Linked DNA regions of Nothobranchius furzeri. The protein of the gene in region 2 binds, or shares a complex with, the protein of the main gene of each other region. Links are inferred from orthologs where the notes say so. Each region holds a gene or a part of one and is shown on either strand. Other genes may lie near its edges. The genes, in order: crnkl1, dhx16, ppil2, rbmx2 and cwc22.

Region 1 (3,719 bases), on a different chromosome or scaffold from region 2:
TATTTGGTTGATAACTTTAACATGGTGAAAATCTGATCGTGAAAACTGGGCTCGTTTCCCTCCTGATTATGGACTACATAACCCAGAATCTGTTTTAAATGAGGACTCTTTGGCATCCACACCAGCAGGAGGCGATGGTGGGTGTTATGTCTTTTTAAGTTACCTCCTCTCTTTCCGGTTTGGGGTCAAGATGACGACGCTGCGCTCGTTTACCTGCGATGACCTGTTTAAATTCAACAACATGTAAGTGTGTGATAGTACCTGCTCAGTCTGGGCTCAGGTGTCTATATTATTGTTGTGTCCTTTGTTTTACCGGCGGAGTGAGCGCGTGCTCCGGCTTACGTCCCGTTGGTTGATTTATTATTAATAATGTAGCTATAGAAGACAATAACGTTAACAGGTGTGACGTGTTTCCTCTTGCTTTCCCGCACAAACATGTAATAAAATGTTTTGTTCATCAGAAACTTGGATCCTCTGACGGAAACCGTATCCTGACTCAGCAGAACGAACCCATGAGAACGGCTAATTCATGCTTAGGTTCAGCTGTTTCCTTGCTTGTTTTTCTTTAACCTTTGACCTCCAGTATGGGATCCCGTTCTACCTGCAGTACCTGGCTCACTGGCCAGAGTATTTCATTGTGGCTGAGGCTCCGGGTGGCGAGCTGATGGGCTACAGTGAGTTCTTCAGTTTTCTCAGTGAGTTGATGACGTCATCGCTGCTACAGCTTATCTGATTGTTCCTGTCACCAGTTATGGGGAAGGCGGAGGGATCTGTAGCCCGGGAGGAGTGGCATGGCCACGTCACGGCGCTGTCGGTGGCTCCAGACTTCAGACGGCTCGGCCTCGCTGCCAAACTCATGGAGATGCTGGAGGAGATCTCAGAGAGGTTTGTGCTGGCAATCAGACGGAAGAGCAGACGTCCCTCAGAGACCTGATGAGACACGTGTCCTTGTCCTGCAGGAAGGGAGGGTTCTTCGTGGACCTGTTTGTGCGAGTGTCCAACCAGGTGGCAGTGAACATGTACAAGCGTCTGGGTTACAGCGTCTACAGGACTGTGATTGAGTATTACTCGGCCAGCAACGGGGAGCCCGATGAAGACGCCTATGGTGTGTGTGTGTGTGTGTGCGCGTGCGTGCGTGTACATATCTCTGACCAACTGTTTCTTCCTGCAGACATGAGGAAAGCTCTGTCCCGAGACACAGAGAAGAAGTCCATCATCCCACTGCCTCATCCGGTCAGACCAGAAGACATCGAATAACAGCTGACCCTCACCATCATCACTTCCTGGTTACTCGTCACACCCAGAGACTGATTATAGAAAACACGTGGCTTCATGTTTTTATTTCCTGTAAATTTTCAATGAACATTTCCGAAAAATATAAAAGTGTGTGTGTGTGTGTGTGAGACAAATGAGCTATTTTAGTTCTTTAACTGAAGGAAAACCAAGGTGAAGTTTCTCAAGGAGGACTCTGGTCTTTCTCCTCCTTGTTGCGCCGGCTGCCCTCTCTCTCCTCCTCCTCCTTCTCCTCCTGGCTGCTCCCGTCGGATCGGTCACCGTGTGTGTTCTGCTGCTCCGTCTCCATTTGGATGCTCTCATCCTCCGGCTGCTTTTCAGGAGTTGCAGGTTGGTGAGAGGAAGATTGTTCCTCCTCACCTGCTGAAGACTTGTCTCCATCGTCCCTCACCTGCTGCCTCTTCCACATCTTGGCCATAGCGAGCAGCTTGAGGTTGGGCTGGTTGGCAGCATCTTCTGGGAAGATGTAGTCATAGTATTCTTCCCAGCCTGCGTCGGACTGATGGGAACAGAAACACCTGATCAGCTGAGAACATCTGGACCATGAATAATTAAAGGTAACGGCTGGGGCTTCACCACTAACCATTGGACCACAACAGGGTTTTGAACCGACCACCACGCTCAGATGAAAGTATTCCTTACCCCGTCTTCAGCTGTCAGCTTCCTCCTCTTCTTCACCTTCTCAGGCAGCAGCTTCCTGACCCGGTCCCTGGTGCTGTCGGACCCAAACTCCTTCTCAAAGTCTCTCCAGGACTCCAGCAACATCAGCCGCTCCTCTTTCTCCTCACAGCTCCTCATGCTCTTGTTGGCCTCCTCGTAGATCTGGCGACACTTCAGCAGCCGCGTGGGTTCATCAATGGACAGCTCAAACTTGGCAAAACTGATCCAAACCTGCAGGAGCAGAACTGGGTCAGCGTGGCCTTGGGAGTTCGAACCGGTATCTGGTTAGACCCAGTCTCACCTTGACATGCTGAGTGCGCTGCAAGAGCCTCCTGTAAAGGTTCCTGGTGTTCTCAAACTCCTCCTGCTCGATCTCAAAGTCGATGTAGGACTTCCACAGAACCTGAGAAGAGAACAGGGTCAGAGGTCTGAGTCCCGTTTGTTCTGCAGCATAAAACTAAGCAGTCCAAACCTCAGGCATGTCCAGTCGTGGCTGTCCAATGGCAAGCTCGAAGATGGCCCGAGCTCGATCCATGTCTCCCAGAATCGTCTCCAGTTCTGCAAACTTGATCCAGGTGGTGCAGTTCTCTGGGGTGAACTCCAGGTACTTCTCGTAGAGCTTCCTGCAGCGATCAAACTCTCGCAGCTGCAGCTCCAACTCGATGTACCCCTTAAACAACTTGTTCTTGGGACATTTCCCGATGGCCGTGCCCTGCATGGGGGTGGGGGGTTTAGCCTGATTGATACTTCTCTGTGAGCTCCACAACGGAGAGATGCACACGGAGTGTCGGAAAGGTTTTCACATTCGACTTTCTGCTCAGGCAGCGGAGTGTTGGAGAGCGATTCCACGCCAGGCCAACAGAGGGCGTAGCGCTGTTCTGTGGTATCCTGCCACCATGACCCCGTCCCCTATAGTGTATTTACTAACACGGACTAATGTGTCCCTAACCTCAACACCCACGTTTCCCGTGGTTTCAGGCCACGCTTGCTCTGTATTTTGTACTCCTTCACTCACGGGTGAATAACGTTCATATTTTCGGACCTTATATTATATTTATTTAAAGAGCAAGACACCCCCTACCAGAGTATTACTCCACTCCCACTTCCTGTTTGAAAAATGCATTAAATGCTGTTGCCTAGCAGACTGAGAGGGCGGAGCCGCTAACAAATACGCACACACACAGGCTCACAACGACATTGTGACATCATATGGTACCAGCTAACATTCTAGGGTACCTCTTAGCCAATAGCGATGGCAGATTTAAATTCAACTACAGAGCAGAGTTTTTACCTGACAACGGCACAACACTGACAGTTTTAGGCAGAAAATTTAAATTTTAACTAAAATGCACTAAAGTGCTAAACTATTGACTACACGTGTCTGCAGCACGATTAGACACGCATTTGTATAGTTTATCAGAAAAAAAAAGTTGATTTGGGGGTGACTTGCTCTTTAAACATTTATAGGGAACCTTTGGAACAATCAGCAGCAGCTGCTCAGCTGAACGTTGGGCACGAGTGGGTGTGTAGAAACGCAGGTCGGCCAGGTAAGAGGGTTGGGGCAACGCAGAAGTATAAATCAGGCTTAAGGTTGTGTGGTTTGGTTTTACAAGAGTGCAGCGCCAAAGCTCACCATGATCTTTCTGGAGTTCTGAAGATTCTTTTGTCGGATTTCAAACTGAGCATGAAGCAGCCACATCTTAGCAAATGTGAACTGAAAGAGAAGAGAAAGCACGTCACAGCCTGGTGGTGGTGGGGGGTTACAT
Region 2 (4,665 bases):
CTCCTCCAGCTGCCGAGTTCACGGTGACTGTGTGACTTTTCTGCTTGCAGCTGCCAGAGTTGAGGAAACAATCTCGTCGGGAATATTTGAAGAAGAGGGAGGCTGAGAAGCTGGAAGACCTGGAGGCTGAGATCCGAGACGAGGAGTACCTATTCTCCGCGGATGAACGGACTGAGAGGGAGAAGAAGGATCTGGAACACAAACGCACCGTCTGGGAGTTGGCTAAAGATTACAAGAAGGCCGGTGCCAAGGAGCAGGAGGAGAGGAAGAACAGATACTACATGCCAAAGGAAGTTAGGAGGAAGGTAAGAACGAGGAGTGTACTGGGACAACGGGAAAAAACCAAACTGATTCCAGTTAAATGACCTCCTCCCGCTTGTGTCTGCTGAGCAGGAAGTTCCTCAGAAGGAGCTGGAGCTGGAGGAAACTCCGATGGAGCTGGGAGGAGAGCAGGGCCTCTGGGAGGAGGAGAGAATGAAGACAGCTACCCTCAGCTTCGGAGCCAAGAGAGAGCGAGAGCAGGGCATGAAGCAGGAGCAGGAGAGGTACCAGCTGGTCCTGGAGGAGGAGGAGATGATCGACTTCGTCAGCACAGCCATCACCATGAAGGGAACTCGGACCGAACAGGTGTGGGTGACTCAGCACCAACCTTTAGTTGTATGTGGCTCCGTTTGACTCTGATGTCGTCTTTGACCCAGAATGAGGCAAAGTAGTCGTCATAAACCCACAATCGGTTTAAAACGGCCTTTTTTCTTGAGGTTGTTTCATTAAAACGTTAAACTGTGAACTTTACCACGACACTTGGTCTGGGGACACTTCATTAGTAGAATCTCATAAACGTCCACTGTTTCTGGGCTGCAGCTGGCAGGAATCTGATTAGTTGAGACTTATTTTTGTCACTAGAGGCTTGAGACGTGTCTTGGACACGGAGAAGGGACTTGTGGATGTCTCTGATCTTGGGTTTTTCCACCAGAGGGCAGAAGACCTGAAGATCTAAAAACACGTGTGTCAGGAAGTGGCTGTTCAGTTAAAGTCCCATTAGTCGTCACACACTGGTGAATTTACATCTCTGCATTTGACTGGTCCCTGTGGGGCGCGGTGAGATGCAGCGGTGGCTGCCCATGGGAACTATTTGGTGATTTACGGTTCTTGTTTAAGCCCCACCCCCCTTTATTGAAACACATGAAGTGTTTTCCCTTAAGTGAAAACTGGGATCAAGGCACCTGCCCCGTGATGTCATGCTGATTGCGTTCAGGTGGGAATTCCCGACCCACATCCCATCTGGTTCCACAAACACAGCCCCGGTAGGTCTGCCTCGGCTCTGCTGGATGCAGAATGAAAACAGACTTCATTTAGGTTTTATTGGACTCTAAACACAAAAATCTGTTTTGGCATCAGATGAGATCAAAACATGATGCCATTTCCTGTTTCTGTTTGCGGTTTCTCTCTCAGGGACACGTCTCTGAGGGTTTTTATTTTTAATCCAGCCGCTTTAGTGCTTCACGCGTTCTGATGGTAAAGCTGAGCAGAAAACCAACATGTTTGTGTCTTTGTGGCAGAAACCTCTTATTTCTCAGAGCCAGATCAAATATAAACAGCAGGAAAACACAAAGTTCTGCACGTTTATGTGCACGTTTTATTTCAAAGCCACCATCATTTGATTGAATGAACTGAAAAATGAATATCTGGTCCGGTTGGCTGAGCCGTCCTTTCAAAGACTCGGCAGGAACACTTCCTGGATGGTTTGTGCTGTGTTCAGGATCAGGACGCGCCGGAGCTGTCTCAGGCGGAGCTAAAGAAGCGGTCCATCCAGGAGGTGCGGCGCAGCCTCCCCATCTTCCCCTACAGAGACGACCTGCTGGCTGCCATCCATGAGCACCAGGTCCTGGTTATCGAGGGGGAGACGGGCTCCGGAAAGACCACCCAGATCCCTCAGTACCTGCTGGAGGACGTGAGTGCTAAGATGTGTTCTGCTGAATAAAATGGACTTAAAATCGAGTCAAATAAAATGTTTTACTGACTAAAAACAATTTTAAGGATGTTTCCGCTCTCATTGGACATTTTACACATCATGTTTAAAATTTTCAGCTTTATTAATTAAAGAATTCTTTTTTGGGAGATAGTTCACGGCTACTAAATAGTCAGTGCTGCTAGCTTACCGTTAGCTTTACCCCAGCGTCTTTAAATAGAAACTTAACATACATCAACAAACATAATCAACATATTGATGACTTTCAAGGTTCTGTTTGTCCCACCTGGAGATGGGCAGATAGACCTGCAGCCATCCGTCAGACCCGATAACGTACCGTATTCCCGTTTCTCAGGGCTACACCAAAGGAGGGATGAAGATTGGCTGCACTCAGCCTCGGAGGGTGGCGGCCATGTCAGTGGCAGCCAGAGTGGCAGAGGAGATGAGTGTGAAGCTCGGTAATGAGGTGAGTTTGCTGTGATGAAGATGTCCCCGCGTCTGATTTACTGTTTTAATCTGGAGCTTGTTGTCCTCGCCCAGGTGGGCTACAGCATCCGCTTTGAGGACTGCACGTCGGAGCGGACGGTGCTGAAGTACATGACCGACGGCATGCTGCTCCGAGAGTTTCTCACAGAACCCGACCTGGCCAGCTACAGGTATTACAGGCCATTTAAAACCCTGACCTCTGACCCTAGATTAAGGGACTACACAGTGCATGGTGGAGCAGCTGGTCCCATCAAGAGGTTGCTGGATTAACCCTCCCAATGTCCTAATGGGTGTGACCCCGCGAGGAAAGTTGACCATTGAGCAGGATCGATGGTTTATCCCTTGAGGTCCACGTGGCAGGGGTGAGGTGGTGCTCACTCCTCACCCCTGCCACATGGACCCAACGAATAAACCATCAACCCTGCTCAATGGTCAACTTTCCTTGCAGGGTCACACCCATTAGGACAGTGGGAGGGTTAAATCCAAGCTGCAGCCGTACTTTGTGGAGCTGGGATCTTTGCTTCTGCTAAATAAGGAACATAAACATAAAATGTGCTCTGTAAGTGTTGACTTGTTAGCTAAATGATGTATTTAGACCTAAACAAGCGGAGCACATCAGCATCACAAACCATAATAGGCTAGGCAAGGCAAGGCACCTTTATTTATATAGCACATTTCAAACACAGGGGCAATTCAATGTGTTTTACAATTATCATTAAATGGCACAGCAACAACAAACAGGAGAAGACAAATAACATAATTTAGAGCTAAAAGGAACAGACAGAATTAAGGTTGAGCAATTACATCACAGATTACAGTGGAGACGATGCAGCATAACAAACAAGTCATTCAAAGGCTGATGAGTACATGAGGGTTTTCAGTTTTGACGTAAACAATACTAGAGTTGGGGCAGATCTGAGGTCATGGGGGAGCTGATTCCATATGTGAGCAGCATAGTAGCTAAAAGCATCTTCATCCTGTCTGGTTCTGACCCGAGGTTCTACCAGCTGATTGTTTCCTTAGGATCTCAGAGCCCTATTGGGTGTATATACAGGAATGAGATCTGACATGTATTTTGGTCCCATGCCATTGAGTGATTTATTAACTAGTAGGAGCACTTTGAAATCTATTCTGTAGTTTACTGGTAACCAGTGTAGGGATCTAAGAGCGGGAGTGATGTGCTCTGTTCTCTTGGTTCTTGTTAAGACTCTAGCAGCAGCATTCTGAACAAGCTGCAGTTGCTTCACAGCTTTTTTGGGAAGACCAGTTAGGAGACCATTGCAATAGTCCAGCCGACTAGAAATAAAAGCATGAATAAGTTTCTCTAAGTCTGGTCTGGACATGAGACCTCTTGGTAGTTGATGAAGGTGATAAAACGCTGATTTAGGCAAAGACTGAACCGGTTAGTCCCACACAATTTGCGAGCCTGTCGAGGAGTACGTTGTGGTTCACTGTGTCAAAGGCTGCACTGAGGTCGAGCATCATCAGGACAGATGCTTTACCTGTGTCAGTGTTGAGACGAATGTAATTTAATACCTTGATCAGTGCAGTCTCAGTACTGTGGTGCTGTCTAAAACCTGACTGAAAACCATCCATAATATTACTTGACTCCAGAAAATTTTTTAGTTGGATCATTGCTCCTTTTACATAATTTTCCCGATCAGAGGGAGATTAGACATCAGTCGGTAGTTGCTCATCACTGAGGGATCTAGTTTCCTCTTCTTTAGAAGGGGTTTAACAGCAGCAGTTTTCAGTGGTTTAAGAAAAATTCTTGACATTAAAGAGCAGTTAACAAGAGGTTAATGAATCCCAGTCTTCAAGTCCCATCATCATCAATCTGGTCTGAATTTTCAGCTCAAACAGGAGAAGTGAACAAAGGTTCGTTTCTCAGATCGTCTCATGACAACTTCAGGTTTTTACTCTGATTACAAGCTGAAGCTAACAAAACAGCCGCCTCAGCATAAATTAGCCTCCAGCCCAAGTTTAGATTAGACATGGACCGATACCGCTGCCTGCATCAGGTCGGATGTCATCTTTTCTCTTCTGAAAAACGCCCCTGTCAGGTGCAGCAGAGCAGCGATCTCATCCAGGTGGAGGTAGGTCAAAGGGTGAAGTACCAGGTTGCTGACTGAAGATTTAATGATCAGAGATTAAACCAGATGTCAAGTCCAGATGTATTTATAAAGCACATTTAAATGGCAGCATCCGTT
Region 3 (4,665 bases), on a different chromosome or scaffold from region 2:
GGCGCTTCACAACACAATCAGTCACACACCCATTCACACGCTGGTGGGGATGAGCTACGATGTAGCCACAGCCGCCCTGGGGCGCTCTGACAGAGGAGAGAATGCCGAGCGCGGGCGCCACCGGTCCCTCCGACCACCACCAGCTGGCAAGGCAGGTTAAGTGCCTTGCCCATGGACACAACAGCAGAATTCTCTGGCAGGAGATGTGATCGAACCCACAACCTTCTGATTACTGGACAACCTGCTGTACCTCCTTAGCCACTGTATTAAAAATACGAGTGAAGGACCTCAACAACAAAAGCAAAAGTTGTTTTTTGCAGCCTCGAGATTCTCGTTAACCAGAGAAACTTAAAAACGGGACGATTGCTGCCGAAGCTCGTCAGATTTGAATTCAATTAAAAATGAAAAGACCTGTTAGTTATTAGTGTGACCTTTGCTCCCTGCGTTTGACCCATCCCCTGGGGGAGCGGTGAGCTGCAGACAGCTGCACCCGGGAGCCATTTGGTGGTTTGACCCCCCCAGTCCAACCCATTAACGCGGGGTATCAAGCAGGCAGGCAGGCGTTGGGTTCCTTTTGGTTTTTTTAGTCTTTGGTATGACCCCACCAGGATTTGAACCCCAATCTCCCGGTCTCAGGGCGGACACGCTACCACTAGGCCACTGAGAAGGTATTCGTGTTGTTCTTCAGACCGGTGAACAAAAGTTTTAGATACTTTATGATTTCCAGAGAAGACGAACATTTATCTGACCGAACTGAGACTGATTATCCCTGCTTTCTCTTTTATTTCTGTATCGTGTTCCAGGAAAGTATCACTGTCCTGTTCTCTACAACGTCTTCACAAATAATTCCCACATTGTTGCCAACAAGGTGACTGGAAATGTGTTTTCCTATGAGGTCAGTAAACTTTAACGATAGTCAAACACAAACAGTTCTCCCTTAAACATGTACAGATGTTACGTCCTATTCAAACCCTAAAGGTTAGCGTTTTTACAGAAATGTTGAACATTTTCAAATATTTTTAAATAACTTGAAGAAACTGGTAGGAATCCATAAACCTTCCATATAAACAAATAATAAATTAGAGATGATGTGATGTTCCTGGTTTGGTTTCCTCAGGCCGTCGAGCAACTAAACATCAAAACCAAGAGTTTCAAAGATCTGCTGACAGATGAACCCTTCACAAGAAAGGACATCATCACACTCCAGGTTAGTCGTTTCTTTTGCAGCGCCTCGATCTCGCTGCCACTGAAGTTGGTTTTGTTTTCCCCGGGAAGAACGCAGGGATTTCCCTCGAGCTTTATGGCATTTACACACTAGCATCGGCTCCACTCCGCCTGGACCGGGTTGGGAGTGTTCTCATTTGGATTTTCTCACCGGACGTCTTTTTAGCCCTCTTCCTGAGGCGGTCTGCCTGGAGCCAAACTGGTCCAACACGCTACCTGCTGACTGGCTGGCTCAAAGTCACGCGTACTTTTAGGGGGAGCCTCCGATTGGCAGATAGAATCAGCTTGCAGGGGCTTCCCGTCGGCACAATTCATTGACTACGTTTACATGCAGCCTATATCCGGGTTATGATCGGGTTAAGGTCGGTATTCGGGTTTCTGAGTTGATCAGAATAACCCGTTTACAAGCATAAATAAAAAGAGTTACCTCTAACTTACATAACCCGATTTTAATGCGGACGTTGGGGTAGCGTCAGGACGTATGGACTACGTCCAGACGCAATATGCCTCATTTCCGGTTCTTCTCGTTCCGGTATCCGTGAAAACAACAACATGTTTCCCAGTTCGGAAGAGATAGCGACCGCATTTGTTTGCGCTTTAGTTTCTTTGTCACTCCAAAAGTGTGGTGCTGTGCCGTGACTCGCCATTTTGCTCCCAACTTGTTGTTTACTTCCGGAGTTCTCGCGCATACAAGACGTCTCGCTACTCAAAAGACCAAGATTCCTTGCGAACAGAGCATGCGCAGAACACACGCTTTGATGGGGATATCCCGATATGCGTTTACACGACCAAACACTCGGGTTAGAAAAGGGTTACCCCAGGTGTAGTAATCGGGTTTTTAAAAACCCGGTTATGAGCATATCCGGGTTTCTGGCGGTGTTTACATGGACCTGCGGAACCGGGTTATTGTGAATATTCGGGTTTTAAAAGGGTTACTGGCTGCATGTAAACGCACTCAGTATCATTCTGGATGCTGTGGTGTTAACGAGCCTCTGACTGAAGCCATTTTACTTTGTCTCTCACTGCTGTGAGGAACACACACACACACACACACAGCAAAGCAAAGCAGGATGCTGAGTCTCCAAAAGCAAGACTGCTCGGGCTGCTTTTGCTTAATAATGAAGACCCCGTGGAGTGGACCTCTGTGCTCTTTTGTCCCGCCCACGTGCTCGGAGATCCGATCATGACATCACAGGCCACAGACCGCCCATGTGCTGCTCAGTTACATCGCTAAGGCAGTGGGGGACGAATGTGGCCAGGCTGGGGTGGGCGGAGCAGAGTGGAGCTGATGCTAGCGTGTAAGTGGCATTAGAGGACCTTGTGTGACCAAGTATGGTTAATCGAGTGCGTTTCTGTATGTAAACGACATTCAGGCTAACATCCTGAATTTGGAAATATGACAGTTTCTAGTAAGGTTTGATAAATGAGGCGCTGGAGCGGCGGGATCCAGACCCGAGACTCCTGGATGGGGAGGAGCGGGGCAGTGATGACACAACTAAGCTCTACCCAGGCTTTTGCTGAAGCTTAGCAGAGTTTTCCAGAGCTGAAGGAAAGAAGCAGCTGAGACAGGAAAATAACTGCTTTACGTTGCTTTTCATCAGGAAATAATAAAACACGGTCAAAAGCTCCAAAGACTGGAGTTCGCACGATGCAGGCCCTTAAAAACATCTGCTTTCTGTTTTTAAAGGACCCCACAAACCTGGATAAATTCAACGTGTCAAACTTCTTCCATGTGAAGAACAACCTGAAAATGTCAGATGCAGGTAATTTTTACTTTGAGATCGGAGTCAAATTTCTGGTTTGTTGTGAGTAAAATACTTCTTTCCTTTATCTGCTGCCGTTTAGACGAGGAGAAGGCGAGGCAGGATCCAGCGTATCACCTGAAGACTACCAACCTGGAAACCAGGGAGACCTTGGCTGAGCTTTACAAAGACTACAAGGGGGATCAGCTCTTGGCTTCCACCATGAAGGAGCCAGAAGCCAAGAAGACCGACAAAATAAATGCTGTAGGTCAAATCTTAAAGCAGAACAACTCTGCTTCAAAAGCTCAAAGTCGGACACAAGAGGGCGCCAAACTGTGAGTTATGGTGGAGGGAAAAGGAAAAGAGTAATGGGAGATTCTGTTCATTTAAAGAAAAAACAAGAATGAAAAGTGAACAGTTGTGTTCTCAGATATGATGACTCAGATTAAAGTCACAGCTGCTGGTTTGGTTCTGGTTAGGGTTGTTGTTGCGTCGTGGTAAATGATTAACTACTAACTACTAAACCAGACTACAGCTACCAACATGTTAGCCAGACTGTCTCCTTTTCCTTCAGTATTCAAATAAACATTCAGAGTGGAACGTATTCAATGTGCCGTCCTGTTGGACTTGATCCACCCCGGTACCAAAGGCAAATGTGTGCTACATAACTCATCTGATGACTGGGAGACGAGTGGCCTGTGACCCGTTTTATGGATTAGTAAAGTCAGTTTCCACAAAAGACCATCCACTGCTTTTCCCGACTGCACCTTTTCTTTTCTAAGCCCATTTCTGATTCACTCTCCGTGCAGCTAGCAGGGTTTCTGTGCAGGTTACAATAGGAGAATAGAAAAGTAAACGGCGTTCCTCCCACTACTAAACCCAAACCAAAAACAGGGTTTCAGTCAGTAGAAGTAGGAAACATTGTTGTGCAGAGGTCATAAAAGAGGTCAAAGAGCTGACGGTGGGTGTTTTAGAGGTCACATCATATCTCATGTGTGGATGAGCTTTAACCTTTCGTACTCGCCATTTATTAGTATTGAAGAGGGCAAAAAGCCGACCTGAAAGCCATGTTTGTGTTTGCCCCCCCAGGCCCACTACTCAACAGGAAGAGTTTCTGCCTCCTTCACATCTACGGCTATGACTCCTGCAACGACACACGAAGCAGGCGAGTCTACATCTCACACAGATAGATCCTCTGCAGCAAAAACAAGCCTTCATCTCTCCTTAATCTGGTTGCGTTAATCTCTGTGCTGAGAGGCCTGGTTAGTCGTGTGTGAGCTTTCTTCGTGCTCGCAGAGCCGGTAATGTTGTCACCCTGTCAGAGAGCGGACCGCTGCAGCGAGAGGGAGTCGCTGTTATGCAACACTAGTAGGTTCAGACTTCAGAGGAGGACAGCGTTTGAATCTGGTGGCCTACTTCAGTGTTCTTAATGCGGCTGGGGCGTGTTTGGTAATCCAAGAACAGATAAGAGGTCTAAAAAGTATTTGAAATAAAAAGTTTAGCATAAATGTTCTGGAATAACAGACGTGTGGCTCCAGTCCTGGTTCTCCAGGGTCACGATCGGCACGTTCGGTGTCCCCTGCATGGTGGCACAGTTGGCAGAACTGTTGCCTAGCAGCAACGTGGTTGCGGGTTTGAATCCCAGTTACAGCCTTCCTCCGGTTTCCTCCCACAGAACGAAAACATGCATGTCGGGTTA
Region 4 (5,202 bases), on a different chromosome or scaffold from region 2:
TGTCACGTGGTCAGTGATGTGTCCAACCGTCTTTAAAGAGTAACTAAACCCCCAAATAACTTGTTTTTGCTTATAAACTATAATTGGGTCTTTACAAATGCAATCTGTTTCTGTGCATTTTTCACATATTTGTGTAAACTTGATTAAATCTAGACTCTGGGTCTAAAAATGTCTCAGTGCTGCCCCCTGTGGCAGAACAGCAGCTACTGCATTTGAAACGTGTGATTGGCTGGGGCTGGAAGTTTCACGTCATCGGTTCAGTCTCCTCCCACTCCCTCACAGGATGGAAATTCCCCACACTTGTCCATGCCCCTCTGTGCCTCATGACAACGCCCACTTTCATGGCATTTTTCAACACTTGACTAGGGGTGGAGTTACGTTTTCTGATGGTGTGCAGTCCCGCTTTACATGGAGGAGTGTCTCCGTCATGGAGGAGTGTCTCCGTCTGTCAGCAGAAGGGTTTCTGCCCAGCAGTAGAAACATTATTCCATCATGGCACCTGAGAGGAAACGGAAGGTGGTCCGTGAGGATCAGTTTGTTCTTTTTATGCCGTTCCTTTCCTTTTTCATCCCGTTGCGCTCAGTTTCCGCTTGACCCATCATAATTTAGTTTCTAAACGATTCTCACATCGTTCCTTTGGTTTTCCGCAGGTTACATGTCGCATTTGTTCAACTGAACCTTCAAACATTAATAACAGGACGTCAACATCACGGAGAACGCACGCGGAAACTTCAGAGCGGGCCCTGACGTCGGTCTGCCTGCGATTACGCTGATGTCCACTAGGTGGCAGCAGACAGTTTGGGGAATGCGCCGAAATGCTTCACGAGTTCGCCAACGTGTTGCTTTGTAAAAGTCTCACCCGTCCTCAGGTGTTGGACATCAGACATGAAGTGTATCAGGTGTTCAGGTCAGATTTTAATACGAAACATTAAAACACACACACACACACCATGGATCGGCCAATCACAACCTGTCTATTTTCTATACGGCTCCCGTTTCCTGTTGTCTCCGTCTTTTCTTCTGTCTTCGTCCCACTCCCTCTCTCTTCGTCTTTTGTCTCTGTCCATCTCTTGTCTCCTATAGTCGTCTCTTCTGTCCTTGTCTCTGTCCACCTCTCTCTCACAGTTCCTCCACTTGTCTTCATTCCTGTCTGTCCCCTTTCCTCTCTCCGTGTCCCTCGTCCTCTGCCCTGCAGGCACCTCCTTGTGGTTGTACTTGTCGTAGGCGGCGTCTTGCTTCTCCTCTTTCAGTCTGAAGACTGCAGGAGGAGGAGAAGGTGATGAAGAGGGAGCTCTGCTCTTCTTCCTCTTCTCTTTCTTTTTTTTCTTCTTCTTCTCTTTCTTATCTGAGACAGAAAAGGGAAATAAGTCCACCTGGTCCTAGATCAGGTGACTTTCAGGTAACAGGAAGTGACCTCACCTTTTTTGGGCTTCTTCGCAGGTACGACGCACTGCTCTTCTTCCTCAGAGGAAGAGGGGACAACAGTAGGACCTTTGGGAGCACAGCCCTCTTCTCTGAGATGTTTGGTCACATCGTCCATGTCCTCGTTGTCTTTGGGAGGACGATAATTTTTAACGTGATCCACGCGGATAGTTCGACCTTTAATCTGAACGTTTAAACAACAACAAAAAGATTTTAGCTAATTGTCTCATCAGAGACCATGTTGATGCCGCTGTGGGCCAGCAAGGAGCGGCGCTGGGTCCACACCAGGACCTGGTGAGGACAGGAAGTCACCTTTATGCCATTGAAGTTGTCCACTGCCAGGATGGTGCTCCTCTGGTCCTCATAGCAGATGAAGCAGAACCCTTTAGACTTCCCCGTCTTCTTGTCTCTCACCAGGTTGATGTTGACGATCTCTCCGTACCTGGCAGGTTTGTCGAGAGGAGACAAACGTCACTGTCATGTCAGCTATAACGTAAAGCAGGTGAGACGTAAGCATGTACGTACTGGGAGAAGACACAGATCAGGTCTCCTTCAGTCAGCTCGAAGGGGAACCCTCCTGCAGGAAACGAGACCTCGTAAGCATCATCAGAACCAAACAAACCCACTTCAACAGTTTCATTCATGAGATCCCTTTTTATGTTGTTAATGAACAGAAGCAAATCGTCTCCAAAAGCCCAAAACACCAAACTCATCCCAACGTCTCCACGTGTGAAGGGCTGGGTTTGAGGAGTTCTCACCGATGAAGATCCAGGCACTGTCCCGGTACTCTGTGTGCCAGGAGACGGTCTCGCTGATGCCGAGGTCAGCCTCGCGCTCATTCAGCTCGTTAATCAGCTTCACCTTCGTTAGAGGACTGAAAACACACAAGTTGCTCAGTAAATCGTCCCGTTAGGGACTGGACCTGATTCTGACTCAATTGGAGTTTTATTGTGAAAAGCTGTCAGGACAATTTAGAAAGAAAAACTGCTTTTTGTTTGGACTACAGAGAAAAAGAGTCGAGCTTTTCTATTCAACCCCAACCTTGAGCCTGACCCTAATGACCCTTCAGCAGCAGCAGGCATAATCCTGTTCCTCCAGCAGGACCACGGTGTTCCTGGTCGAGCTGCTCCGTTTCACTTGTTGGCTTGATTTAAATTTGACATTTTAATTCTGAGGGCTGTTGCCTTGCAGCAAGGAGGTCCTGGGTTTACATCCCAGCCCGTCTTTCTGCATAGAGCTTGCATGTTCTCCCTGTGCATGCGTGGGTTCTCTCCGGGTACTCCGGCTTCCTCCCACAGTCCAAAAACACGACTGTCAGGTTGATTGGTCTGCCTAAATCATCCTTAGGTGGCTGTGCATGGTTGTTTGTCCTGTGTGCCTCTGGGCTGCCCTACGATGGACGATGGACTGGCAACCCATCCAGGATGTACCCCGCCTGCATGCCCAGAGACTGCTGGAGATAGGCACCAGCCCCCCAGAACCCTGTGAGGATATGCGGGTTCAGACAATGGCTGGATATACATGTAAATGTGTCCCCTTTGACTTCCGGGGTAAATACGATCGGAGTGGTGTGTTTTATTAGTCGAATGATCTTTTTTTTTGCAGCAGACGTAGAAACATTCATGAGAAAAAGATAACACCACATATGACCAAGCTTGTGGTCCTGTCTTCATCAGCAGTTGACATAAATTATTAGTCAACTTTATCAGACACACTGGTCTAGAATAAAACACGTAGTAGAAGGTCAGGGGTGTAAACAAAACAATAGCCAACCTACACATGATCAAATGTCTTCTTGAAGCATCAAAGATACATGCTACATCCCAAACACAACTGGGTGTTTATGTTTTATTACATGCTCTCTCTGGTTTTTAAGGAAAAAATGTTAAATTATCTGTTTTTTGAGCAGAATCCGATCGGCTACGAGTAGGAGCTAGCTAACAGCTAGCATGCTGCACCAGGATCAGTCATCAAACCGCAGAATAACGAACTCGCTCTTTTTACTTTAACTACACGACAAGAAGTAGAACAGTGTTGTGTCGGTGGTTCGTGTCATTTATGAATACATAAATGTACTTACTTCATAGTTAGTTACAGAAATTAGGGCACAGATCAGACGTTTTATTTGTTGAGGTAGACCACTTCCGTTTGGTTCGTCTCTGCTGCCCTCTGCAGTTTGGAGATCTAAACTACAAGCGATCATTAAACATGTGCAGATTATTTCTCTCGGGTTTATATAACACACCCAAACCATCTAGGTTGATGTATCTGAAGCAATTTCTTACGTAGCTATGAGTTCACTCATCGTGAAGTTAATAAATATAAAGTTATTAATGCAATCCTCATTCAACCTCCTGTCCACAAGGGAGCGCTGTGGGGCTACATGCTAACGGAGCCGTGTCGTAAACCGTAGCTATAACCTGAATATAAACCCAAAACCTTTCTGTCAGGTTAGCTTTGTAACCCTGCAGACAATGAGCTTATCTGGTTGTATTCAGCGTTTCTGAAAACTGCGGCCCTGTGAGTTATTAAAGTTTATCTATAGCTTACTGCTAGCCAAAGCAGCACCAGCCGTGCTTTCATTTCCTTTGAAGTTCTGTTAAAAATAGCCGCAGTAAGATCTGGTTCTTCCAGGTAGACCCCACACCTTCCGCAGGCGAGTACAGCAGCTGTAACCCCTCACAGATCCACCTTTCCGTTAGCGGAACTTCTGTAGTTTTATCTGCAGGTTCTCACCAGTACACAACAGTGCTGTTAACACTTATAATACAATAAATTAGATAGGATTTGGCTTTATTCCAACTCTGATAAACATGTTGTAACGTGACGGAAGTGGTCACTTTTATTAAATGATCAATAAGGTGTGATATTCCATATAAATATTAGTTATCATTATCATTAATCTTGTGCTTGTGATCTTCCTTTCAGGAGGATGATCTCTCAGGTCTTCATCCTGTCCTCCAAGGGGGACCATCTCATCTACAAGGACTGTATCCTTTTGCTTCCAGTCCCGTGAGACTTTACCCTATCAGGAGTTAGAGCTTAACCCAAGCCAACAATCAGACCGAGGCCAAAGAGGAAACGATGTGGTCAACATCTTCTATGAGAAGGTCACAGCGCTGACTGGAGACCAACCTCTGGTCGTCACGGTAACGCCTCCACAGTCTGGGACACATTTAGACCCAAACTGTTGTGTTGTTTTGAGTTCTGATTTGACCCAAACACGAAGAGTAGGTCAAACCAGAACCACTAGATTAGAAGTCACATCAGGATGAAGCAACGATGTTTCGGCGTCTGTTTACTGTCTGAGGAACTGGACTGAAACCATGCAGATGATTCGAGAGTCAAAAGTAAAACAAACCTGATTCTGTGTCCCGCAGAGCGACAGAGACCTGCACTTTGTACATGTCAGACATGAAGGCCTTTACTGGGTCGCCACGACGACAGCCGACTCCTCACCGTTCACCATCATCGAGTTCCTCAACAGGTTTGTTCTGGTTCTAAACAGAACCTTCAGATGGAGCTGCCTGCTGGTCACCTAGATGTCAGCTGATAAACATCTTGACTGAACAGAACCGGTCCATGTTTCAGGCTGATGGCGCTGGTCAGGGATTACTGTGGCAGACTCTCTGAGAAGTCCATCCAGGAGAACTTCGCTTTGATCTACGAGCTGCTGGATGAGGTTCTGGTGAGTCTTTAACCATGGGGGTGCTACACCCCATCAGGAGCCTCTGACCCTCAGGGTGTCACAAGTCCCGCCTTATATCTAAAAGGTCCACT
Region 5 (5,379 bases), on a different chromosome or scaffold from region 2:
ACATGAGGCCAGACTTCACTCTACCGCTGCAGAGATCCTTATACAAAGTCTGAGTAAAGACAAGAGTTAAAAATAAGCAACATTACCACAGAAAACAAGGGATTGCATTATCCTATGTCCAATTTTAGAGTCTTCATTTATTATAATTAAACATTACCTTGATTTCACCATCTGAAATCACTGCCTGGGTTCCATTTTTCAAAGCCTCGATTGTCCTGTAATTTAGATAAAAATACATCTTATTAGCAAAAGAAGAATACAAGCACATGTAAGAAGTTTTGACAGTGTCACTTGAAGAAGTCCGATATTCATTTTAGATATATATTTAAGGCCTCTAACTCCTGAATGATTTGCAGCTAAATGTGCTTAAATCCGGTAATATTAATATAAACCATACCCGATCAAAGCAGTCAGTGGACAAAAATATCTTTTTTTTATAAGGTTAGGATTATTCTGAAACAGAATCAGAAGGAGGGAGGGAAGCGGCTACTATTTCAAAGTTATTGTATCTGTTGCAGGACACCTGATTTGTGCAACCACAGTAGAATGACCCAGCACAATACCGCACGCAATAACTTAAAAATATTTAGAGATATTGAAAGCTAAGCTTGTACAGAAAAAAATATTTTTGGGTGCACAGGACCAGTTCCAGTGTGAGCCAGATGCTGAAAAATAAATTCATAAATCTGTCTTTTCTGAAGTTTCACAAATCAGAGGAAGGTTTCACATATCACAAACTATGTTTTATGCATTCTGCTACTACGAGCCCAGAATAATCTAAAACAGGTTTGAAGAACGTATGTGTTGCAGTTTTTGAGCTAGAGCAGAATAAAAATGGTCTGAGTAGAGAAAAATTGGGTGTATTAGCCCTTTAGCCATTTCCCGAATCGGAAGCTAACTTTAGCCTCGTATGAAAACTAGTGATTGAAACCACTTACAAATCTCTGAAAATCTACGCTTTTTAATTAAAAAAGGGTATTAATAACGTTTCAGTCAAGTCAGTATTAGAAATCGTGGTCTTTATATCATATCTAAATTATATATAAAGTTTATATTATTACTTTAACTGTTTTAACAAACAGGGAGACGAGAAAAATCAAATAGCTAAGTTAAAGCTAAGCTACAATTGCTGATAGCTTTATTTATGTAGCTTTTGTGTTAGCTTGTGAACTCCCTGCATTCGTTTTAAGACTGCGTGTTAATATTGATACAATTAGCTATGAAACACGGTGCCCTTTGCAATAATTCTCTGGTAAAGCTTTAAATGCTATAGTGCCTACATTTAAGAACTAAGAACGGTTGCAACAATTAGTTAATTTCATCCTTACCTTACCTCTATGAAACCAGCCGAGTATGGTTGAAACAAAAGCGGCCGCCAAAAAAGACCAACTTCCGGCCGAGGTCTTTCGATCGTCGATTTTCCGGTAAAAGTAATGACACGCCATCTTGTTCTCGCTAGAAAGTTCTTTCGGTGGCACGCCAGCTGATGTCTGCAGCCAGATCCTACTCAAATTTAGTGAATCTTCTCTAGTAAATATGAAAGTTGGTAGGTAGATGTAGGCATGGTGTTAATGACACGTCCTGAGAAACTTCTTACCGACCAAAACGTCTTCTATCAAAGCGTTCCGTGTTTCGGTCTCTCTCTCTTGACCTGGATCTGTCTCGTCCTCTGGATCGAGCTCTGACTCTTTCTCTGGACCGGGACCTGTCTCTCTCTCTGGACCGGGACCTGTCTCGCTCTCTGGACCGGGACCTGTCCCTCTCTCTGGACCGGGACCTGTCCCTCTCTCTGGACCGGGACCTGTCCCGTTCTCTAGAATGAGATCTGTCTTTTTCCCTGGATGAAGATTTGTCCTTCTCTTTGGATCTGGATGTCTGGAAAGAAAAAAAAAAGGATTTTAAGGATGTTATATTTTGATCATCGCATGTAAAAATGATCTGAAACCTGAAGACAGAAGAAAATGAAAACATGAGACAAGAAAAATAAAGTCCTACTGGACTTCTGAAATATCTTTTTAGTGAGTTATTTAGTTTTTCTGCTTTAGTTTACAAAGCAGAATTAAAGAGCGTAATAATTGAAAACACAAAAAGAGCAGGGCTTGATTCTTACATTTATCTGAGCCACACTGCTCCTAATCTTCTGCAGTGCATCTTGATGTTCCTCCTCATCCTCACTGTTTCTGCTGTCGGAGCTGCAGGGGGCAGGACTCTTAGAGCCTGTGGGACCGGACTGAGGAGAGGATCGCTTTTCGGGGTTTCTCTCTGCCACACCGGCCTGTTGGGGTATCGCTGCTGCTTGATTGGACTCATCTTCTGATGGCTCTGTAGACAAAGAAGATGAATATGTCATTTCTGGAAAAACATAAAGAAAGAAACTGTGAGTGTTACCTTTGTGTTCTCTATGTGCAGGACTGGGACTTTCACTTTTGGCTGAAGAGTCCATTTACTAAAATAAAGATTAGAGTAATCTGTTAATTTGTTATCCAAACTTTTCTTGTTTCTAATAAACAGAATGTAAAAACTCCTTTGTTGTTTGTGCCATATGAAATCCTACTGGTCCTTATTCTCCGATAACAGGAAAAAATGTTAGCAAATATAAACGTTAATGTAAAATGGAAAGAATCTCTTTGTCAAGCACTGGTTGATTAACTAGAGAAAATAAAAACGGACCAGTCAATATAAATGACGTTTTGACTTTTTAAGTGACTAAGCATTTCATCTTTTCCCAGAAAGAAAACCTGGATTTAAAAACCATCGAACTGACATTAATTCATTCTTTATCGACCTTTAGGCTGCTTAAAAGTAACTAAAAGAAACTGGTATTTTGGTTTAATTTGCTAGTGTTTATTCTATGGATATACGTTTATTTATATGTCTTATTAAGTCTAGTTGTTTGGATAATGACGTTGCTACCTGAAACAAGACGAGTAAAAATATTTTTGCGACAAGCGATTAAAAACTTTATTTAATGACCCTTAAGCATAAAATGGACAACATGAACGAAATAAATTCTGTCACCCCGTTTCAAAAACATGTTAGACGTATTTTCGCTGCAGTTTTCAGCGGAGTTGTCTTATTCAAAGATATGATACAAAAACAACTAAGAAACCAACTCCTATTATTGGCCTTGAAAGGAAGAAATCATTCAACGGGTTTATTTATACGTCCAACAGGACAACGCTGAGACGATATAATAACACACCATAACTGTGTGTGAATAAACTTTGTTTTAGTCGGAATTTTCTGTTGTCGCCATGTGTCTTAATGCGCTAAAGCTAGCTCTGTCGCTAGCGCTATATTGTTATTTGCCAGTCTGCCATCTAATCCTTTATATTTTTAGATTTTCAATAACTCTGCAAAACGATGTTAACCAAACGTACCTTCCGTGCCACTAATATCCAATCTTCTTTAGATATTTCCGACTTTCCTAAATCACTGTAGTTCGACTAGCGGAAACCGTCTAAACATTAAACCATATCCGTTAGGTCAAAGGTTACTTCCGGGTTTCACAATAAAAGTTTCAAGTTTTGCAAGCTGTTGCCAATTTTCCAGTTACGGTGAAGCAAGAAAATTCACCCTCTCAGAAAAATACATATAAAAAGGTAAAAAAATAAAAAAAGAAAGAAAAAAAAGAAAGAAAAGAAAAAAGACATGTGAACACAGTTTATTTTGATGTTTTAAAGTTGTGAAGCATTAACTAAATTATAATAATAAGAAGAAGAATCTTGGTACATGTTAGGATGTAAAAAATAATATAGCTTTCATTGTTCAAGTTTGTTTATTTATAACTAATTACATTGTGGCAAATAAATAAACAAATATATAAACTTATCTTCAAACTGTCTGTGCTTTTTGTCCTAAACTCCAGCCACTGAGCTGAATTCACCATGACACATTACATCAGTCATGTTCTGTCTAACATGGAGAAGGGTCTTCTTTCTTTTAATAATCAGACATCCTTCTTCATAACACAAGTAGTTTGCAGTGGATCAGGGTGATCTGACCTCACTTGACAGGTTCTGTATGCAAAAATGAAAGATTAATATATTAGGCTATTGTAATGCAAGCTTGTAAATGATTTTCACAACTATTCAGGAATTCACTTTAAGAAGGGTGACAAGATGGAACACATAGAAAGAAAGAACAAGAAGAAGAAAAAAAGAAGAAGAATGCTTCTTCTTGTTCCTTCTTGCTCCGTCTTCTTGTTCCTTCTTCTTCTTCTTCTTGTTCCTTCTTCTTCTTCTTCTTGTTTCTTCTTGTTCCTTCTTCTTGTTTCTTCTTGTTCCTTCTTCTTGTTTCTTCTTGTTCCTTCTTCCTTCTTCTTCTTCCTTCTTCCTCTTCTTCTTCTTCTTCCTCCTTCTTCCTTCTTCTTCTTCCTTCTTCTTCTTCTTCTTCCTTCTTCTTGTTCCTTCTTCTTCTTCTTGTTCCTTCTTCTTCTTCTTCTTGTTTCTTCTTGTTCCTTCTTCTTGTTTCTTCTTCTTCTTCTTCTTCTTCCTTCTTCCTTCTTATTCTTCTTCTTCCTTCTTCCTGTTTCTTCTTTCTTCATCTTCCTTCTTCCTGTTGTCCTCCATGGTGCGCAGTAGGACACAAGGTTCAATAAAGCACCATTAGAAAGACACCCCAAGTCATGTCCTCCATCATTAGTGCTTCCAGAAATTGGAAGCATAGCACTCTCTTCATGCTATCCCCACTGATGTAGAGTGGTTTAATGACACTATCTTACACTAACTGTGCCATGCTGAGGCCTACAGCCAAGTCTGAATCTCTTCAAATGAAGATGTGTGGAATTAGTCTGGATGTCAACCCTGACATCAGATCGACAACAGCTGTGGGCTGACCAGCCATAGGAAAGGATACATTGGCCTAATTCCACACCAAATGAAGTTAATCCTCATCCACCCACACCATAGATACTATATTCTGCACACAGATTGAACTTAAACTTTTTCTGATTCTTAAATCTGAAATTGATTTGTTTATTTAATTAGATCTAAATTAATTTTTGTATTTAATTTTGTGCTGTCACATTATTTTAATGTCCGTGCTATTCTCACAAACGGAAGGCACATTGAATTGCCTCGGAGTATGAAATGTGCTGAACAAATAATTACAGGCACTACGTGTAACGTGCAGATTTACGATTTACAGGTGCTGGTCATAAAATTAGAATATCCTGACGACGTTAATTTTTTTCAGTCTCCCAATTTGGAATAAGAATAGCTTTTTAGAATACCACCAAATTAAATCTGTAGTAAAACAAACATTTAAGCTCAATAAAATAGAATTGCAAACACCACCAAGGGTATAAGACTTCTATAATCCCAAACCCCCCAAACTACTGTCTAAAGTATATAAGACACTGTCCAAAATAGACGATAG

Evidence for each region.
Region 1: dhx16 (region 2) and crnkl1 share a complex: the UniProt entries of both Homo sapiens proteins name them as parts of the minor spliceosome. The link is inferred for Nothobranchius furzeri from reciprocal best matches to the Homo sapiens genes DHX16 and CRNKL1.
Region 3: dhx16 (region 2) and ppil2 share a complex: the UniProt entries of both Homo sapiens proteins name them as parts of the minor spliceosome. The link is inferred for Nothobranchius furzeri from reciprocal best matches to the Homo sapiens genes DHX16 and PPIL2.
Region 4: dhx16 (region 2) and rbmx2 share a complex: the UniProt entries of both Homo sapiens proteins name them as parts of the minor spliceosome. The link is inferred for Nothobranchius furzeri from reciprocal best matches to the Homo sapiens genes DHX16 and RBMX2.
Region 5: dhx16 (region 2) and cwc22 share a complex: the UniProt entries of both Homo sapiens proteins name them as parts of the minor spliceosome. The link is inferred for Nothobranchius furzeri from reciprocal best matches to the Homo sapiens genes DHX16 and CWC22.

What each region holds. Positions count from the first base shown.
Region 1 is NC_091742.1:17,429,723-17,433,441, forward strand, and holds the end of crnkl1 (crooked neck-like protein 1), read right to left. Parts: intron 3,668-3,719; coding exon 3,587-3,667; intron 2,666-3,586; coding exon 2,426-2,665; intron 2,357-2,425; coding exon 2,255-2,356; intron 2,185-2,254; coding exon 1,936-2,184; intron 1,793-1,935; coding exon 1,457-1,792; 3' UTR 1,326-1,456; downstream 1-1,325. Other genes in the region: naa20 (N-alpha-acetyltransferase 20), read left to right, coding at 191-243, 462-486, 584-674, 750-885, 960-1,105, 1,172-1,257. UniProt on the Homo sapiens protein: Involved in pre-mRNA splicing process. As a component of the minor spliceosome, involved in the splicing of U12-type introns in pre-mRNAs.
Region 2 is NC_091745.1:60,407,010-60,411,674, forward strand, and holds part of dhx16 (pre-mRNA-splicing factor ATP-dependent RNA helicase DHX16), read left to right. Parts: intron 1-50; coding exon 51-305; intron 306-393; coding exon 394-627; intron 628-1,759; coding exon 1,760-1,951; intron 1,952-2,324; coding exon 2,325-2,435; intron 2,436-2,509; coding exon 2,510-2,625; intron 2,626-4,665. UniProt on the Homo sapiens protein: Required for pre-mRNA splicing as a component of the spliceosome. Contributes to pre-mRNA splicing after spliceosome formation and prior to the first transesterification reaction.
Region 3 is NC_091750.1:38,466,178-38,470,842, forward strand, and holds part of ppil2 (RING-type E3 ubiquitin-protein ligase PPIL2), read left to right. Parts: intron 1-803; coding exon 804-895; intron 896-1,117; coding exon 1,118-1,207; intron 1,208-2,911; coding exon 2,912-2,987; intron 2,988-3,069; coding exon 3,070-3,230; intron 3,231-4,055; coding exon 4,056-4,131; intron 4,132-4,665. UniProt on the Homo sapiens protein: Has a ubiquitin-protein ligase activity acting as an E3 ubiquitin protein ligase or as an ubiquitin-ubiquitin ligase promoting elongation of ubiquitin chains on substrates.
Region 4 is NC_091750.1:26,771,884-26,777,085, forward strand, and holds rbmx2 (RNA-binding motif protein, X-linked 2), read right to left. Parts: upstream 3,614-5,202; 5' UTR 3,508-3,613; coding exon 3,503-3,507; intron 2,297-3,502; coding exon 2,181-2,296; intron 2,000-2,180; coding exon 1,948-1,999; intron 1,865-1,947; coding exon 1,735-1,864; intron 1,607-1,734; coding exon 1,420-1,606; intron 1,346-1,419; coding exon 975-1,345; 3' UTR 896-974; downstream 1-895. Other genes in the region: ap4m1 (AP-4 complex subunit mu-1), read left to right, coding at 4,351-4,412, 4,486-4,571, 4,803-4,909, 5,014-5,110. UniProt on the Homo sapiens protein: Involved in pre-mRNA splicing as component of the activated spliceosome. As a component of the minor spliceosome, involved in the splicing of U12-type introns in pre-mRNAs.
Region 5 is NC_091754.1:30,021,707-30,027,085, reverse strand, and holds the start of cwc22 (pre-mRNA-splicing factor CWC22 homolog), read right to left. Parts: upstream 3,501-5,379; 5' UTR 3,381-3,500; intron 2,447-3,380; 5' UTR 2,444-2,446; coding exon 2,389-2,443; intron 2,323-2,388; coding exon 2,111-2,322; intron 1,876-2,110; coding exon 1,598-1,875; intron 1-1,597. UniProt on the Homo sapiens protein: Required for pre-mRNA splicing as component of the spliceosome. As a component of the minor spliceosome, involved in the splicing of U12-type introns in pre-mRNAs. Promotes exon-junction complex (EJC) assembly.